Linked DNA regions of Schizosaccharomyces pombe. The gene in region 1 interacts genetically with each later gene. Each region holds a gene or a part of one and is shown in the gene's direction. Other genes may lie near its edges. The genes, in order: sir2, ppc1 and lsd2.

The links.
Region 2: of sir2 (region 1) and ppc1, a mutation in one rescues a mutant of the other (synthetic rescue), as found in Schizosaccharomyces pombe (one study listed by BioGRID).
Region 3: of sir2 (region 1) and lsd2, changing one suppresses a phenotype caused by changing the other (phenotypic suppression), as found in Schizosaccharomyces pombe (one study listed by BioGRID).

Annotation. Positions count from the first base shown.
Region 1 is NC_003423.3:3,607,924-3,614,565, reverse strand, and holds sir2 (histone deacetylase, Sirtuin family, NAD-dependent Sir2), read left to right. Parts: upstream 1-2,879; 5' UTR 2,880-3,009; coding exon 3,010-3,193; exon of another isoform or gene 3,194-3,356; coding exon 3,357-3,419; exon of another isoform or gene 3,420-3,456; intron 3,457-3,460; coding exon 3,461-3,543; intron 3,544-3,673; coding exon 3,674-3,705; exon of another isoform or gene 3,706-3,790; coding exon 3,791-4,227; exon of another isoform or gene 4,228-4,291; coding exon 4,292-4,920; 3' UTR 4,921-5,349; downstream 5,350-6,642. Other genes in the region: heat shock protein Hsp104, read left to right, coding at 1-2,207; plasma membrane ZIP zinc transmembrane transporter Zrt1, read right to left, coding at 5,450-6,642. UniProt on the Schizosaccharomyces pombe protein: Involved in silencing within the mating-type region, at the telomeres, and according to PubMed:12867036 also within centromeric DNA regions.
Region 2 is NC_003421.2:1,141,051-1,146,655, reverse strand, and holds ppc1 (phosphopantothenate-cysteine ligase), read left to right. Parts: upstream 1-2,422; 5' UTR 2,423-2,614; coding exon 2,615-3,565; 3' UTR 3,566-4,040; downstream 4,041-5,605. Other genes in the region: TIP41 type 2a phosphatase regulator Tip41, read left to right, coding at 1-273; ubiquinol cytochrome-c reductase assembly protein Cbp3, read left to right, coding at 749-1,600; cytochrome c oxidase biogenesis protein cmc2, read right to left, coding at 1,857-1,947, 2,010-2,188.
Region 3 is NC_003424.3:444,109-452,249, forward strand, and holds lsd2 (putative histone demethylase SWIRM2), read left to right. Parts: upstream 1-2,661; coding exon 2,662-5,133; intron 5,134-5,186; coding exon 5,187-6,422; 3' UTR 6,423-6,618; downstream 6,619-8,141. Other genes in the region: Fe-sensing transcription factor Fep1, read left to right, coding at 1-1,155; meiosis specific arrestin family membrane adaptor Ste7, read right to left, coding at 7,102-8,141. UniProt on the Schizosaccharomyces pombe protein: Catalytic component of the SWM histone demethylase complex that specifically demethylates H3K9me2, a specific tag for epigenetic transcriptional activation, thereby acting as a corepressor.

The DNA of each region.
Region 1 (6,642 bases):
TTACAGAGCTCGCTAGAAATGGTCAACTGGATCCAGTTATCGGACGTGAAGATGAAATTCGTCGTACAATTCGCGTACTTTCTAGAAGAACGAAAAATAATCCAGTTCTTATTGGTGAGCCTGGTGTAGGTAAGACCTCCATTGCTGAAGGACTTGCTCGTCGTATAATTGACGATGATGTCCCCGCTAATCTTTCGAATTGTAAGCTTCTCAGCCTGGACGTCGGAAGCTTAGTTGCCGGCTCCAAATTTCGTGGTGAATTTGAAGAGCGTATCAAATCTGTTTTAAAAGAAGTTGAAGAAAGTGAAACTCCCATTATTTTATTCGTAGATGAAATGCATCTTTTAATGGGCGCAGGTTCCGGTGGTGAAGGTGGCATGGACGCTGCCAATTTGCTGAAGCCAATGCTTGCACGTGGTAAGCTTCACTGTATTGGTGCTACTACTTTGGCTGAATACAAGAAATACATCGAAAAAGATGCTGCTTTCGAACGTAGATTCCAAATCATCTTGGTAAAAGAGCCTTCTATTGAAGATACGATTTCTATCCTTCGTGGTCTTAAAGAAAAGTATGAGGTTCATCATGGTGTTACTATCTCTGACCGTGCCTTGGTTACTGCTGCCCATCTCGCTTCCCGGTACCTAACTTCTCGTCGTCTTCCAGATTCTGCCATCGACTTGGTCGATGAAGCTGCGGCTGCAGTTCGTGTTACTCGTGAATCTCAGCCCGAAGTTCTTGATAACCTTGAGAGAAAGCTTCGACAACTCCGCGTTGAAATTCGTGCTTTAGAGCGTGAGAAGGACGAAGCTTCCAAAGAACGTCTCAAGGCTGCTCGTAAAGAGGCTGAACAAGTGGAAGAAGAAACAAGACCTATTCGTGAGAAGTATGAATTAGAAAAGTCTCGTGGAAGTGAACTTCAAGATGCTAAGCGTCGTCTTGATGAGTTGAAGGCTAAGGCTGAGGATGCCGAGCGTCGTAATGATTTCACTCTTGCTGCTGATTTGAAATACTATGGTATTCCTGATTTGCAAAAACGTATTGAATATTTAGAGCAACAAAAAAGAAAGGCTGATGCAGAAGCGATTGCAAACGCTCAACCAGGCTCAGAACCTTTACTTATTGACGTAGTTGGGCCCGATCAAATCAACGAAATCGTTGCAAGGTGGACTGGTATTCCGGTTACTCGTTTGAAGACAACTGAAAAGGAACGACTCCTTAACATGGAGAAGGTTCTCAGTAAACAAGTAATTGGTCAAAATGAAGCAGTTACTGCAGTTGCAAACGCCATTCGCTTATCTCGTGCTGGTCTTTCTGATCCTAATCAACCAATCGCATCTTTCTTGTTTTGCGGTCCTTCCGGTACTGGTAAGACTTTATTGACAAAGGCATTGGCATCATTTATGTTTGATGATGAAAATGCAATGATTCGTATTGACATGTCTGAATACATGGAAAAACACTCTGTTTCACGTCTCATTGGAGCACCACCCGGTTATGTTGGACATGAAGCTGGTGGACAGCTTACTGAACAACTTCGTCGACGACCTTACTCCGTCATCTTGTTTGACGAGATTGAAAAGGCTGCTCCAGAAGTATTGACTGTACTTTTGCAGGTACTAGATGATGGACGTATCACTAGTGGCCAAGGCCAGGTTGTTGATGCCAAGAATGCTGTTATCATTATGACTTCTAACTTGGGCGCTGAATACTTGACAACAGACAATGAGTCTGATGATGGAAAGATAGATAGTACCACTCGGGAAATGGTTATGAACTCGATTCGTGGCTTCTTCCGTCCCGAATTTTTGAATCGTATCTCTTCAATCGTTATCTTTAATCGTCTGCGTCGTGTGGATATCCGCAATATTGTCGAAAATCGTATATTAGAGGTTCAGAAACGGCTTCAATCCAATCATCGCTCAATTAAAATCGAGGTTAGCGACGAAGCTAAAGACCTTCTTGGAAGCGCTGGTTATTCCCCTGCTTATGGTGCAAGACCTTTGAACCGTGTCATTCAAAATCAAGTTTTGAATCCCATGGCTGTCTTAATTTTGAATGGCCAGCTTCGCGATAAGGAGACTGCTCATGTCGTAGTCCAAAATGGCAAGATATTTGTCAAACCAAATCATGAAGCTAATGCAAACGGCTCTGCTGATATTGACATGGATGGTATTGACGACGATGTTAATGATGAAGAATTGGAATAAATGTATTTCAAATGAGAAAGTTCTAACGATACTTTATGATATAGTTTAATGATATGCTTAATCTTAATATATTTTATTTATTTATAAAAATATAGTATATAAACTTTTTAGGAAGTACTGTTTTCTCATTAAAATGTTCAATGAACTTTATCGAATAGATAGAATCAATTTAACAAAAGCTAAGTACATCGTTTTTAGTTATTAGCAATTCAAGTATGATGAAACATTGAATCTTAAATTTATCAAATAATCCATTGTTATTTACGAAAAACCTCCATTTATTTTAGTAGGTATTAATTAATGCAGTCCATTCAAGAAAGTCGAGCTTGTAAGAAAGTGCTCGTAATTCCTTATAAAATCAAAGCAGAATTAGCTCTCATACTTTTAGTAGATTTTAAATTGAATTTACATGATTAACTTTAACATTTGGTAAATCACTATCATATCATTTCATTACTTTCTACACTTGCGCATTGCATACTAATACGCATTCCAGTTCTCATGGTTCAAAGCAACGTTTAAATTAACAAGTTGTATAGTTAAACTTATACAGTGCTTTGCTTCTAATAGCCATTATTACCAGGAAATAACGAGATCACAGTTGCCCGCATACCATTAAGCTAACGAAACTTTACTGCACTAAACAAGAGACTAGCTTTTCGTAATTGTAATAAGACTTATCGAAAAGTTGAACCAGAGATCTTCAGTTCAGTAGATCATTGCCTTTCTCAAACGAAGCTTTAATTTATACTTCCTTAAAAATAATTGATTAGTCATATTTTCATGTTATACAAACTCTGTCATGGCTTCCAATCCGCTAGATAATAATATGCCGACGACTCCCGTTGAGGAAAAAATTCCAGTCGCTAGTTATTCTCCTAGCTCTTCTGGTAGTAGTTCCGGTGCTAGTTTACTAGTAGATATTATGTGCGGCAGTAAAGAAACTGAGGATGAAGAGGTTGATTCTGATGAATGGGATAAACCAGGTATGAATATCAACTATTAACTCCAATACCTTCAAGGGTACGCGCAAGTCTATTTGAATTTACAAAATTTACAATTGATCAACGATTTTGAGTTCAGGTTAGCTATGTGCTTTTCATATACTTTAGTTTATTTTAATTATTTAAAAAGTTAACGATTCCTTAGAAACAGAAAACATAAGTGATTTGGATGAACGATCCGAAATGGTCAGATATTTAAGGGCTTCAGGTAAGGAGTTACTTAATTTACATTTTAACTAGTATTTGTAGGCTATGCGAAATTCTTGGAGAAATATTTAATAGAAGAAGAGTTGCCTGTACGATCGATTTTAAAAAAACTTGGAATCAATTTGGTATGCTTACTGATTTATAACTTGCATTACATTAAATTAGCAGATTATTTTTGTTAAATTGCAATAATAATTTGGTCTACTGCATGTTTTGTTTTCTTATGACTTTACCTAGATTTATTAACGTAAATAGCCTAGTGCACTTGAAGAGTTTGAAGACATAGAGTATGCTTTTCTTTAACTTCCTTCTTATCTTTTTATCTTTTATTTTTTAAAATATCTGCTATCGATATACTAACGTGCTAATTAGTTTACTTCCTTTGCTGAAGGAAGTTTTAAAACGTGAGGTTGCTAGGAGAATCAAACTTCCACATTTTAATACCTTTGAAGATGTTGTTAATTTATTGAAAAAAGCTAAAAATGTTGTCGTCCTTGTTGGGGCAGGCATAAGTACAAGTTTGGGAATTTTAGATTTCCGTTCAGACAATGGTTTTTATGCCCGTTTGGCACGCCATGGATTATCGGAACCTTCTGAAATGTTTGATATCCATACGTTTAGAGAAAATCCAGAAATTTTTTATACTTTTGCTAGAGATCTTTTGCCGGAGACGAATCATTATTCCCCCTCGCATGCCTTCATTAGATTGCTTGAAAAGAAGAATAAATTATCAACATTGTTTACCCAAAATATAGACAATTTGGAAAAAAAGACTGGACTCTCCGATAACAAAATTATTCAATGTCATGGTAAGTATTTATTTTCCGATTTGCATCTCGAGCACTGGTGATTTTGTCTAATTTGATTATATAGGGTCTTTTGCTACCGCAACTTGTATCAAATGCAAGCACAAGGTGGATGGATCGGAGTTATATGAAGACATAAGAAATCAAAGAGTTTCTTACTGCAATGAATGCGGAAAACCACCCTTAAAATTAAGAAGAGTCGGTCAAAATAAAAAAGAGAAACATTATTTTTCAGATGGTGATAGTGAATCTTCTGAAGATGATCTAGCTCAACCTGGGATTATGAAACCTGATATCACATTTTTTGGGGAAGCCTTACCGGATTCTTTCTTTAACAAAGTCGGGAGTGGTGAGCTTGAAGAGACTGATTTATTAATTTGTATTGGAACTTCTTTAAAAGTGGCTCCTGTTTCAGAACTCATCAGTGTTATTCCTCCTACTACTCCTCAGATTTACATTTCGAGGACTCCTGTTCGTCATACCCAATTCGATGTAAATTTTCTAAGTCCTTATTGTGATTGGGTTATTGTGGAGATTTGTAAACGTGCTGGATGGCTGAATGAATTACAAGCGCTTTGCGATTTACCTGAGTGTCATAGTGGTTCCAAAACGCGAGCTTTCGAAACGGATTTGGATATAAAATTTGAGGAGCCCAGCACCTATCATATCACGAGCACAACAAACGGTAGTTGTTAATTTTAGGACTGATCGATCTATCGAAGTTGAATGTAGAAGCAAATATATTATATACATATATCGAGTATGAGAGCCAGATTATTGGACATTAACTTATTATCCGTTTGAGACTTCTTAGTTTTGTAAGTGCCATTGTTAAAAACTGTTTTTTCTCTTCGCACCTAATGTTTAAATCTGCTAAACTGGGTGAAAACACATTAAAACAAGTTATAATACATTTTACAATACCAAGGACTGTGTAATTAGTAAATGAACATTGAAGCAAATTACATTCATAGGCTATGCAAAATTAGCTACTTTTTTAAGCATAGTAAATCAGTGAAAATGACACAATTATTATTTAAAATTGAAAGATTGATTGGTACATATCAATACAACCAATGAAGCATCTAATTGTACGATACTAAAGAGAAACAACTGAAAACGGACAATTAGAAATTGGTCAACGATATTGACACTCAAACTCAAAAGAAGAAAACAGATTTAATGAAGAATATAAAATGCACGGATCATCGAAAAAGCCACCAAATCAAGCCCATTTACCTAACAAAGCCATAACTCCAGTACCAGCCATCGAGCATGCCAAAAGGTAAATAAGCTTATACCAGTTACGTTCTCTTTCAGGACTAAATAAGAAATCGTGTGCAAGTAATTCCACTAAACCAGCATAAACCAAAATTCCAGATGAGATAGCATCCAAAACACCTTGGGCAGCATAAGACCCATGAGCAAGAGGATCCCAATGCTCACGAACACCTAAACCAGCTGCCATACCAATAGGCGTAACCAACGAATAGATAACGCCCAACACCCAAGGTACCCATGCAGTTTTTGGGCCCCAGGCCATTCCCGCCAAACGAGAACCTAAACCACAACCTTCAAAGGCCTGATGGAAAATAATGACGGGAAATAAAGTTTTAAATTCTTCACCTGAGACGGCAGTTGTAAGACCGATAATAACACTATGCAAAATGATACTAGATTCAAGAATTATAAAGGCAGTAAGTTGTTGCTTTAGTAAGAAACTACGAGCTTCTTCTTTAGTAGTCAAATCGGTACTATCAGTATTCGTATAAGGTTCTAGTTTTACTTCTTCCAAGTCATCCTTTACACATTCATGCTCAACACCATCGGCACATTCTTCAATATCATAAACTGGATGTTCATGAACACCGTGAGCACCGTCTTCGTGACTATGACTGTGTTGTTTGGCACCAAGAGTTGGACCATGATGATCGCCGATTTCCATACCGAACCGCCATTCCACATAGCGATTCAAAAGGACCTCCAACAAGAGAATAAACCAACAAGAAATAAGACAAATACCTGGAGCCCAATCGTAACCTCCGAAAAGGTCGTCAAGACAAGGATCGTAAAGCTTGTTACAAGCAGGGGCTAACAAGTGAATAAAAGCAGTAGCCAAAATAACACCAGAACCAAAATAACGAGCGAATAGATAGAGATATTCAATATAAACGTTGGGTCTGTTTTTGGTGATTTTAGAAAGGACCAAAGGTAAGTTCATGCCAATTAATGAAGTAGCCAAGATAACAAAGATGGCACCAATACGATATCCCAGATGACCATATTCGTTGAATTCATTGGCATCACCTCCACAAGTCACAGTAGCAGAGCTATCATCGTCTCTTTTTACCAATGGACTATATTGCTTATTAAGAAAAAGATGTCTCAATATTTGGTGAGATTCTTGAGCAAGATATT
Region 2 (5,605 bases), on another chromosome or scaffold:
AGAGCTCGAGTTGTTCAGGGTCATTTAATATTGTTAGCACGCCTTGTCGTACGTTTAGACAAGGTAAATGTTCGATTGAATGAGACGAGGATATATATTGATTTGTTGAATGATTTTCTCTTGAAGGACTGCCGTAAAAAGCAAGCTACTTACGACAAAATTATTAAACAAATACCTGTGGGGGGAGACAAAGCTGCATTGCTAGATGATAACAATTGGTTAAGTGAGCGCCTTGATACCGTTGACCATAAAATCTATAAATTGAATTTTTGATGCTAAAATGATTCGCTAATGGCAGACATGAGAATTTAGAACTTTTGTCAACGAATGAGTGTTGAAGCAATTTACAAGTTTATTACGTTTAGTTCATGGTAATATTTATAATCATTTTCAACTAAGAGGTTATTAATTTAGGTTTTCTAATTGAGAAAGCAAAATAAATAGATACAATCTTTGGTACGATTAAACGGCGAAGATATACTACTGAAACTGCAAACAAATTTAAAATGGTCCAGTAAATTTTAGAGTATACTTAATTAGGAAGAATGATGGCCTCGTAATATTGATCGTTCGTTATAACATTGTATTTGGCAATCAACCTGTCACAACCTCTCTTCCCCTTTATATTGTACGACATTAATCGATCCGTTTTTTATTTCAACCCAACTCCTACGTATTTATTTGCAGGTAATAATTAATTTTATTAATTAAGAAAAGATTATCAAAAGATCCTTATCGTCATTCAGTAATGAGTCGCTGCTGTTTAAATTTGCCATTGAGACCAGCATTTGTTAAGCAGCCGGTATGGGGGAAGAGTATATACGGTCCCTTAAGAAGAAGATTTTCATTTTCTCCAATAAATGTTATTAATCATTCACCTTCGGAAACGAAGAGAAGAGACCCAGTAGAAGAACTCAGATACAAACCCCTTACACCTCCTCAAGATCCACGTAAAGTGGCTCCGCCAAATAGTTTTCTAAAGAAAATAAGTCTTATTTATCAAAAATATATCTCTCCTAAACAAAATTTATATTATGAGGCTACTGGTACTGCAAGATACATGTATTTTGAGGCTGCTCGACAAGCTACCCCCGAAAAAAACTCGCTAGGTGCTTTTGAATTTTGGTACCAGAAGTGTGAAATTCCTATGACATTTCAGTCTTGGTTTCAAATAACGCAATTACATTTGTGGATCCTCCATACTCGCATTCGTGGTTTGCCAAAAAATGAAAAAGTTGCCTTTTCACAGGCATTAACTACTCGTTTCTTTGAAGACATGGAACTCAGAATTCATAAAGATTACCGCATTAATAGCAATCGAATTTCTGGTATGTATCTGAAAGATCTGTTTCAGCAACAGACCGGCGCCATTTTTGGTTATGATCAAGGAATGCTGGGAAGTGATGCTGTTTTGGCTACATCCGTTTGGCGTAACCTTTTCGTTGGTCGCCCAGACGTCGACTTAGTAATTCTTGAGACTATTGTTAAATTTATTCGCCTCAATGTTTATCGCCTGTCATGTTTATCAACCGATGACTTTATCAATGGGAAGGGAGTACACTTCGTCCCACCTGAAGAAAGTGCACAAACAAATATTTGATTAATAAATGATTGCTACTCTAATGATTAATAAATTGACGAACGGTCATGTTTATTATGCAAAACCATGAATCTTTTTTGTAAATAATTACTTTGAAAGCTTTTACCATTACGTTAAATTGAAAAGTAATGAGGAGCTTTTGAAATATTTTATAGTAGAGAATGTTTGTCAATTTAATTGAAATCGTAGCATTATGTTGTATTGGAACTAGTATTTTAATAGCAGTTAATACCGATATTATCGATGCATTAATTAGCTACTTCTTTTCGTCTTGCTTTCCGATAAAGCTTTCTTGTTTAGCTTTATTGTATTCCGACCTGATCTGCCACTCCGATATTTCGTCTGCGCTGCATATTCCATATTAGTTACATATCCTTTTTTATACATGATTGATGAATAAGTTTCTTACGCTTTGGTTAAACAATCCTTCATCGTTTTATTTTCACTTCTACATTTCCAGGTTACGCTAAAAGTCCTGCCAGTAGCGCATTTCACAAAATCTTCAATTTCTTTCTGGCAATTTTTTTTTAATAGCTTTTGGTGCTGTTTCCGAAGATCAAATTCCTCTTCAATTGGAGATTTATTCATTTTAGATAATCAGTAAAATGTTGGTAACTAAACCACGTTACCCAACAGAGCGCAAATAAATGAAAATTTTTAGTCTTAAGTTGATTAAAACACAAACTTAAAATTTATTTTAATTTTAGCTTTTCATAAAAGACAAGCACGAGTTGAATAAAAAAAAAAGGCCTTAAGTGTAATACAATCACAAAGTGTCGCGTTTCAGTCGTTTGTGGTGTCGCTATCGTCTACATTGTTCAATAAACAGACCACTACTTGCTGAATTTACAAGCTGCTAGAGAACTGTTTGGTTAGCATTTCAGATTTTGTGAGTTCTCTAGTCCTATCATTCAGCAATAACGCATACAGTTTTTTAAACGTCGTTTGTTTATTTTTGAGCTCATCGTAAGAGAGGCATTTCTGGGTTGCGATACTCTTAGCTATTTAGAATATATGCCAGAAATGGATAAATCTAACGATTTCTTTGAGGAGAATCCTTGTCCTAACTCACTCGGTGATGTCTCAAGTCTGATTGAAGATTTTATAAACCTTCAATCAAACTCCCAAAACATTGCATTTGTTACTAGTGGCGGCACACTTGTGCCTCTTGAGCAAAATACGGTGCGTTTTATCGATAACTTTAGTGCAGGAAATCGTGGTGCAGCATCTGCTGAATACTTTTGCAAGTCTGGATATTCGGTCATTTTTCTGTATAGAAATTATAGTTTAATGCCATTTACTCGACGATATGAAGGTCCCTGGACAAATTTGTTTGAAAGAAGTAATGGCAGTCAGGAGAAGCCTTGGATTGTCAAACAAGAGTTTCAATCGACAGTATTCAATGCACTCAACGAATTAGATACATATACGAAACATCATCGACTGATAATGATTCCTTATACTACACTCACAGAATATTTGTGGTACCTGAAAGCTATAGCTGAACGTTTACAGATAATCGCTTCAAGAGCATTGTTTTATTTAGCAGCTGCTGTTAGTGATTTCCATATTCCACCGAAGGAATTGAGCGAGCACAAAATTCAAAGTGGTTCTGGAAGTAACAAATTAGAAGTCAAAATGCATCCGGTTCCAAAATTTCTGCGTTTCTTGGTTGACACATGGGCTCCTGAAGCTTCTATTATTTCCTTTAAATTAGAAACCGACCCTAGTATTCTGATTGATAAAGCAAGAGTAGCTTTACAACGTTATAACCACCAGCTGGTGATCGCCAACCTTCTTTCAACAAGGAAACGATCTGTCGCGTTTGTAACCTCAAAAACGGTTGAATGGCTTCATTTGAGCGACGATGACATTGTAAAAAAGGTAGAAATCGAGCAATACATTGTTTCGAGGGCAATTTCGTTGCACAAGGAACGAATTCAAGAGTTCGCAAAGGCACCTTAAATTATGTTTATTGACGATTAGTCGATTATGAACTTATAAAAAGTACTAGTTATGTTTCTTATCTGCTTTAACTTATATGAACTATCGGTTTTTCTTTTAAACATTTTACTCATTTATATTGTTAGGGTTTATTATGCAAACACCAGTGGTACTTTTTTATTTCTCTATCATTTTCGTCTTGTTATTTTACGAAGTTGCTTTATAGCATTTGTAGAGGGGTTTACGAAAAAAATGAAAGGCTTTATAAATTGCTAATACGAGCTATGAATTGAATCGTGTACTATTGGATCTGTTGTAATTTTTTAAAAATTGCAGCTTTTTTTTTAGATACTTATTACTGTTGTAGATTACTCAGGTCTGAAGTGTGTTAAAGAATATATTAAAAATGATGATTAGTTTATAAAAATCAATGTCAGGAGTATATAGAAAGCAAAGACTTGAATTTAAAATGCGCAACAGTTATCTTGAATGAACAAAAAATAAATAGTGAGTACCTGTAAGTAGTAAGCGTATATGATTGTTTCTAAAGCCTTCAGTTCTTTTTGAGATCCCATACTTCTTATGAGTCGCTTCAAACCCCATGACTAAAATGCTCATGTTTAATTGCAAGCTCACGTACACAAACAACGGCGATTGTTATATAGTTCAATGAAAAACCTATGAGATTTCAATTACTTTTAAAACTGTTAGAGAATCAGAATGCAAAGGTTGGCAGCTCGAAAATGTCGAGGATAAAACAAATATTTAAAAAGGCTATTATGGCTTTTACAGACATTGGTAAATAATTTTCTTTATAAATATTTTAGTAGTTTTTAATGTATATGAAGTCGCAATGGTGTAGTTGGGAGCATGACAGACTGAAGATCTGTTGGTCATCGGTTCGATCCCGGTTTGTGACACTTTTTGTAAAACAACACAAGTTTATGTAAAGAATTCTTTATACAAAACTGGAAAAAACTATAGAACAAAGCTGCAAACGTTTTTACGATAAAACTGACCTATGACTTATAATCCAGTTCCTCTGCTTCCTATTGAGACATGTTAAGACGGTTAATCATAAGATTCCATTCTGGATGAATTGCACCATTCATTAATCGTGGTTCTTAAGCTAAAAAGGAAATTATTCCGCATCAAGGGATATCGCTCTAAATTACGTTGGATAGAATGGTTTTCTGGATCAAGCGTATTTTGTTTATTAAGGATGCTGCATTAAGAACGAAATTTAGGAAAACTGTATTCACCTTGACGATTTTGAACGTGCAATTGCTCAAGTAGGTGACCGAGCATCTAAGTTTCTTATTAAATCCCAAAAAAGCCTAACGTTTGTAGCAGAATCTTGGGAAGTCGATAACAATTACATCATTCACAAGCTGTTAAAAAAAAATACTTATAACTTCCTCTTAAACCACCTGATTATCTTTACCACTTTATTATTCAACAAATTTTAAAGATCGTGAATGTTCAAGGTAAGAAATAGAAGCGATTAGTTTTTCCATAAATTAGTTTATAAGTTTTGCATCATGATTCATCAATGACTTTTTTCAATCTTTTTCTGTAAAGAACAGGAATTCACAGTGTGATCACAATCACTTTTTTAATTCCCAAAATGCTTTTTAATAATGAATTGCAAATGCGCGATTGCTTACTAAAGTCACGGCAAAATTAAAACACTCAAAGTTCAATCGTCTCAGTCGTTTGCTATGTTCGCCACGGTTATCTTGAAGCATATTGTTAAATCTTCAATAAACAAATAAACAAAAAAAACATATAGTTGATAAGGTCGCTTATTTTTTCCCGGACCAATTAAAGCAAGACCCCTTGTTTATTTAAATGTGATGAATATTAAAGCTCCAAAAAATAATTTGCATGGTTTGCCTTTTTTTAATTTTTTTATGCTTGCAGCTGAAATGTTTATTCGTATTTATTGATTTAACTAGCCTTTCAGATGACATTATAGAAATCTCATAAAATTATCTCAATGAAAAGTGGTACTGAAACAATTTTACCACATTCATATTCTTTCTTAGTTTTCTAATGAAT
Region 3 (8,141 bases), on another chromosome or scaffold:
CCTTTGTGGCGCCGCGACGAGTCGGGTAATCCGATCTGTAATGCTTGTGGTTTGTATTACAAAATTCATGGGGTACATCGTCCCGTTACCATGAAGAAGGCAATCATTAAACGTCGAAAAAGGCTGGTTTTTAACGGTAATGCGAATGAGTCGCAACACAACTTAAAAAGAATGTCAAGTGGGGATTCCGGATCTTCCGTTAAGCAACAGTCTACAAGGGATGGTCCTTTTTCTAAATCTTTTCCCAATGGTAATGGCCATGCTTCTGGAAATTCTGGTGAAGGTCTGGCTGAGCATGGAATGAATACTGGAGTATTACCTCCGGCTAGTACATTTCCTTCATACAACAGCAATTTTACCGGGTTCTTGCCTTCTTCGTTCAATCCTTCACCATTGATGACATTGTCACGGTTAGCGGCTGGTGAACCTGATAATAATGGGAAAGTTTATTACTCATATGGTCCTACTCAGGAACAATCAATATTGCCTCTTCCTGAGAACAAGCATGAAGGATTGCCTCCTTACCAAAATGAGTATGTTCCCAATGGTATACGAGCTAATCAAGTAGTATACCCTGGTCAGCTTGTAGCAGTTGGCAATGATTCTAGTAAGCAATTATCGGAATCTACAACATCGAACACGGATAATAATGGCGTTGCAACTGCCAACCAATCCAACCCCTTAGGCATGAAGTTTCATTTACCTCCTATCCTTCCTGTTGGCGAGTCAGTCTGTTTGCCTCCTCGAACTTCTGCAAAGCCAAGGATTGCTGAAGGAATTGCTTCCTTACTTAACCCCGAAGAGCCACCCTCAAATTCCGACAAGCAGCCATCAATGTCAAATGGACCGAAATCAGAAGTTTCACCTTCGCAATCTCAGCAAGCTCCTTTAATCCAATCCTCTACCTCGCCGGTTTCTTTGCAGTTTCCTCCTGAAGTTCAGGGATCAAATGTAGATAAACGCAATTATGCTTTGAATGTTCTTTCGCAATTGCGTTCTCAGCATGATTTAATGATTCAGGAGTTGCACAATTTAAATCAGCACATTCAACAAATAGATGAATGGCTGAGGTCCTCTGACAATGAAAATATGGCTTCTGAACATATTAAATCCTCAACCCCTGCTGTTGTTGCATCTGGAGCTCTTCAAACATAAACTTGATTGGCATGTTTGTCGTGCGGCATATTTATTTATGGTAAACAAATTAGATATTATCCCGTTTAGCTGTCTATTACTTACAAGCATGACATTGTATACTATGAGTTTAGGGTAAAATACTTCACATGATTCTTATTGGTCTTTTGTTTTGCGTTAGTTTTGGTATTGGCCAAGTCCGTCTGCGGTGTTATATTCGTTAAGAGCTGGAAAATAATATTCAGTCCTTAGCGATTTACCGTTAAATTTAGAGTTAACATATATGTTTTTAATGAAATCCTATGTGGAGCATTTTTTATGATATTAATACGCATCGAAAAAGCAGATATTGAGAAAAAATAATACTACCGGATTTATATGGTATGTAGATAGTTAATATATTAAATATATTTAAACTGCCCGAGTGCAAACTCATTTGGAAATTGTCAATTCATTAATATATTTTTACAATTTTTCGGGGGAAAAAACATTTGTATACAACTATTTAAAACGGAAAATGGAGTTGCTTGTAAAAAGCAGTATCCATGGTTAATTAGTTCATTCGCAAAAAGTCATTGCTTGACTTTTAAAACTATATGATTAGGCTGAAATTTTAATTGTTCATTACAGCACATATATAAAAAACTTACACTTAATTTTCAGCTCAAATAACTTCGCTATTCATTATTTAATCTATTTAAATCAATAATAATGTAATTATGATATATATCATTTAGTTTTTCTGTTAACAACCAACAGTCCCGTGTTCTAGTGGTATGATTTCTCCTTCACACGGAGAAGGTCCCGGGTTCGATCCCCGGCGGGACTAGACTTTTTGTAAAATTCAACAATAGCGAACTTGAACCATAATGAGATGTTTTAGTATAATATTGATAAACAGTTAATCTACACTACTACTCTAAACATCCTAAGCTTTTCTGAATCTTAACAGCAATGTAACATATTTTTGGATTGTTATAATAATTTACTCCATTTGTTCTATTCTCCGCTGACTATACTTTCAAGTGTATTGTAATATTGTTTTCTGCAAGTTGAAATCAACGAGTTTAGGTAGTAGTCTTTAGCATGAAAGAGCTAACACATTAATGCAATAATTTGGAAAATGAATACAAATTAATGAACTTCACATTTTTCGTTCATCATTTCCAAAGTGTTAAGCCTGTAGAAGAGAGCAAATGCGATCGTAGAATAATACTCGCAATATGAATCAGATAAATAGGCAATTGAATGCCTCTCGGGCGTTCTTCATGGTATTCAAATAATTAAAGACACATGTATTATCTAAAAGAAAAATATAAATTCTGGATAGTCTGATAGATGATTGATTGGACTTGACATAAAAATGCTTATAATATTTGTCGTTATCCCATTATGCTATAATATTTAGAACGATATTTTTTTAACGAATCGTTAAGGATATGTTGCGCAAAGTACTTTGTAAACACCAAATCGAGATTCAATGAGATTTTACCACCTCGGTTCACTTTGATTGTATCTTTTTACTCTATGAACACGAGCGAGAATGATCCAGATGGTCATTATGACTTTCCAGAAATGACAGAGCATCATTCTGACCGGGCTTCATCATATGCTAACGCCAACAACGTTAATTCAACTCAACCTCAATTGGTGAGTAGTGAACAAGCGCTTTTAGCTATTTTAGGAGGTGGATTACAGTCTATCACACCTAATTCTGTTAATCAGAACGCGTATTCAAGGTCAACTTATCGTACAGATGGCGGCTTAAATTCACAGCCAGTTAGCTCACTGAACAATCAATGGGGAAACTATAATCCAGCATTTTTACCTTCTAGATATGATTCCTCTTTTCACCCTTACACAATTTCGCAAGCGGCTAATCAACCATTTCCTCAGCATCTTTTAGGCAATTCAAATGCAGGTGTCGCTCAGCAGTCTGGAATGAGAACAATTGGATTACCTCCAACTGTAGGTTCCTCTTTTCCTCAACAAAAGTCATCCACATACGAAAACTTTTTTGATGCAAACTCTCCGTCTTCTCAGCAATTTCCATCTACATATCCTTCACGATCACAAAACCCGCTTTCTTCCAGTGGAGATGGTTCAACGGCAATTCATGCAGGCCCCATTCAACACCAAAACTCAAATGCCTTTTCCAATTATCCGTATCCATTAGACGCTTCTCATTTATCTTCTCAGCAACTTTTGTCGATGTATCGGGATCAAGTTTCTCATGGAGTTACCCCATCTACATTCCGCAATCATGAAAGTTTTATGCCTACACAGTTGGTATCAGCAACAGAATTATCTAAAAGTGTTGATAACGCAGTTTTGCCAATACCACCTACTACTGCACCGGCAGTTGTATCGCCTCCTGCTTCATCTTTCCCTTTAATGTCTTCAGCTGCTACATCTGGTAATATTAGTAGTCCTGCACTTTTTGATTCAGAGTTAGGTGCTAGGCCTGAAGGTTCTGTTGCAATTGAGCCGTCTAGAGTACTGCTACAATGGTCTAGTCAATCATCATCTCATACTATACCATCTGCAGGAGCCAGTATCCCTACATCTTCTTTAAAGTCGTTTTTTGAGCATGCCGCTGAAGCAGCTCGTAAATGCAATCTCGATCCGAGGGCCTTAGAAAGTTTTGAACAACACATGCTTTCTGATCGTTTACACGATCCCGTTGTATTATTTCATTATTTCCAAATTCGTAACAGCATTTGTTGGCTTTGGATTAAAAATCCTACGCATGCCATATCCAGAGTTGAAGCTCAGGGCGTATGTGTCGATCGATGTTTGTTCCAATTAGCCTCTTTAGCTTATGAATTCCTTGTAAGGTATGGATATATAAACTATGGATGCTTGTCCTTTGATTCATCCTTTACGAATGAAACTAATACTGGCACAACATCCAGTTCTGCATCGAAGCAGAAGACTATTGCTGTAGTAGGCGCTGGTCTTACTGGTTTGATATGTGCTAGACAACTTACTGGCTTATTTTCTCAGTATTCTTCATCTTTTTTGTCAAAGAATGAGCTTCCTCCTAAAGTTATTATACTTGAAGCTAAAGAAAGGACAGGAGGTCGTATTTACTCTCGAGCATTGCCTGTTTCTCATACTTCGGCTACCCAAATTAACCATCATACATCTAATTCGAATTCTATTTCTAGTAATTCCACTTCTTTAAACCCCAAGGATGTTACTGACCCGTCCCATATTCCTTCAGCAATTGATTTGGGATTTCAATTTTTATTTTCGCCTATGGACGATATTTTGCTTAACCTTTTAAATAAACAATTGGGTATTGAAGTTACAGAGATGACTGGCTCAGATTTAGTTTACGATGAGACCGATACTAAAGTATTAGACATGGTTGAGGTGAAAAAATTAAACATTTTATGGGAAAAACTTTTGGAATATGTTTCTGTTTGCTTTTTTATTAACGTTGAGGAATCTGTTCGTATTTCTTGGATATCCCAATTTCAGTTGTTTATAGATGAAATGTTCCCTGATCATTTGTCCAAATCACTCTCATTAAATGCGTCACATGAATTTTCCTTCAAAAAAACAATGCTAATACTAATTGATGAAGTTTCTTCTTATGCCAAACTCGGGAACAGTCAAAAGAAATTTCTGATATGGTGTTTTAAGGTCGCGGAATTGGACGATACTTTGTACCCTCTTAACACAGTTGATACAGACTTCTCCAAAGATATTTTGATTCCAAAAGTTGCTAGAAGAGGTCTATCTCAACTGCCATGGGCATTACAATCTTATCCATCTCCCTTAAATATTCATTATGAGAAGTTTGTATCTAAGGTAACTATTGAAAATGATAAATGTACCCTTGATTGTAAGGACAACTCTTCTTATGAGGTTGACCAAGTTGTAATTGCTTGCTCTCCTTCTCATTTTTCTTCAAATATAGAGTTTTCACCAGGTCTTCCTAATTTCGTGACTGAAAACATAAAAAGTATAGATTTCAAACCCGGAAAAAAGGTAGGTTTTTATTTATTTATTTTTTTTTCAATTATAAAGTTAACATTGAGCAGGTTATTCTTCGTTATGCAGCTGCTTTTTGGCGAAAGAACATTAGATCATTTGGTATTATACCAAAATCATTAAGTCAAGAAATGAACAATGATGAGAATGATGGTAAATCTTGTTTTGTTTTGAGAATATGGAATATGCTTCCTGAAACTGGTGTCCCAATATTAGTAGCGGATATCAATCCACAAATGACAAGTTCTTCTTCTAACGAGACCTCCCACTTAATTCAAGAATTACACAGTCTAATAGTAGATCATTTTCAAAATGATTCAAACAGCTCAGCTGATTTATTAGATGCTTGGGTCACAAACTGGTCGAGAAATGGTGTCTATGACGGCTTAAATTCTTATCCAAATTTTGCCAATGATAAGCAGCAATATGAAAAAAGATTTAGGCAAAGTCAGTTATCGTATAATTTGGGTCGCTTGCATATTGCTGGAGACTATATATTCAGTTGCGTAGGCTGTAGGACATTACAAAGATCCTTTTTATCTGGCCTTTCCGTATGTACAGGGATTATTGATTCATTGGCTCCAATTTCCTTAACCATACCTATCATTGGAGAAACCTCTCGCAAAGAATTGGATCAGTTTTTGCGAAACTCTAAAGTTAATAATTTTGATCCCAATGCTGAAGCACAGCGTCACCTTTCTTATCAGGCAAGATATAGGTTGAAAAAGCAGGAAAGACTTGACGAGCATAAGGAAGAACAGGAACAGCTTGTAACTGAACTTCTTGGTTATTTACCTGAACCTCCTTCCAAGCCGAATGCAAATCCCTTTTTACTTTACCAAAAAATGCAGTGGCATGTATGCCGTGCACTTGCTGATGAAGACAAGCGAAGGTTAACAGGAGATAGTACAGCGAAGGCTACTATTAATGAAACACGTGCCAAACTAGGGAAAACTTGGCGCCAGCTTGATGATTTAGGTAAAAAACCTTGGATTGATGAAATTGCAGCACAAAGAGAAGCTTATGCTGGAAAAATTCTTCGTTATCAGCGCCTAACTAAAGAATATGAAATGAGAGCCGAGCAAATACGAAATGATTATGCGGCCAAATGCCAAGATGAACCTATTCCCGATGATGAAGCAAGATTGTTTATGCAAGCTCAACGAGAAGAAGAGCAAAGAAAACAAACTCAGGATGACAACATTTCCAAAAGTCGAGAGGCTAGCGACGAAGAGTATCATGACGATGGATCTTCTGATTCGGGTTATAATGGAACACGATATTAAAAGAAAAAAAATCAAATCACATATTGTTTTTTAAAAGTTTAGTTACTTCGCATCATTACAAATACCCTTAAAATTTTATGTACATATATATTCTCGTCATGCCCTAAATGAAGCATTTTATCAAATTGCTAATTTCAGCAAATTGTTTAAGGAAAATCTAAAATACATGTACACTTCTCGTTAGCCAGTAGCCAACCTGATTTAATGCCGAAGATGTAAGAGATAAAAGATGATATCGTAAACACAGCTACTACTCTCACTCTTTAGGATGTAATGCATGTTACCATTTTGCCATTAACATAATATTCAAGCAACAAATGATATTACTAGTACGCTTGTGAAATAAATAAAAAAATAAGTTATTAGAAAAAAAGTAATTAAAATTAACTAAGAATCATTAAATTAAGCCAAAACAGATGCGGTTGTATTTGTTGCAGACACCATGGACACTATGTATCTCAAAGCAAGTACTACAACGAAATAGTTAAAAAAAAAACATAAGATGCATATGATATTAAAATAAAATAATATAAAAATGCCGAGTTATTGACTCCAGTCCATATTTGGACATGTATAATTAAAAGCATTATCCAAAAGTTAATAGGAGATGGCATCTCAATTGTCAAAAAAAAAGTGGTTGTTATAAAGACTCGTAATTCAGGAAGTCTGTTATAAATAATTAAAGAGACTGTAAGACTTCATTGATAAGAACATCGAATTCTTTAGCATACGCCATGTTCAAAGCGTGTGGATCTTGTAGCATATTGTCGTCAGGCAAAGGGGAGCTAAGACTTGAATCTGAACAGTATGATACGGAATTAGATCGTTCATAACCCATTGGCAAAGTAGCTAGATACAGAGCATTGGATGAACTTCTTCTGGAAGGCGATACGGCACAGTGATTATTATGAACTTGATCTTCAGCAGTAGGCAAGCTTTCAGAAAATGATAGATTTCTATGACATGAAAGAGCTGAAAAGTCACCGGAAGAAGATGACGAATGACAAACTGTTGTAGCAACAGTCTTACCAGGAATACTGTACATATTGGAATTCTCAACCACCTCTTCTTCATCCATAAGGTCGTTTGGTTCAATCTTAAAGGTCAACTTCTCACCAGGTGCTAAATTGACAAAGGTGACGTTGTTGTCTGGTGAACAAATGGTAGAAGGAGAAACATTAGAATTGGTGAGTGGAGAAGATAAAGGACTAGGTTGATTTCCTGCCAAAGATGGAGGTGAAACGCCGTGTTTAACAGGACAAAACGAGGCAGTCGGAAGTGAGGTAATGCTTGACATTCGACGTTGAGAATTGAAAGAGGTATTCGGGGCAGTGTAAGAACGCTGAGGGAATTTATAAAGCATCGGAGGACCGGTACCCGAATTATTATAAGCATTGGATTGCGAGTCAAAACCGTTGGATAGGGTTACAGCGCTACTAGGCGTACTAGGGCAGCAAGGCGATGGACGTGACGATATGGAAAGAGGATTCTCATAATGTGACTGAGGACTGAGGTATGACTGCTGATTTTGATACATAAAAGCAGAAAACTGAGAAGGAGTAGGTGGAATGGGGGGTGACATGGAAATGGGAGTTTGAGGTGGATCTGAGGCTGAAGAAACAGAAAATTGACGGCGGGGAACGAAAGGAGCTACTGAGGAAGAGGATGAAGATGGAGCTGTCATGGATGAATTATACTGGAAGTAGGGATTAGGAACCA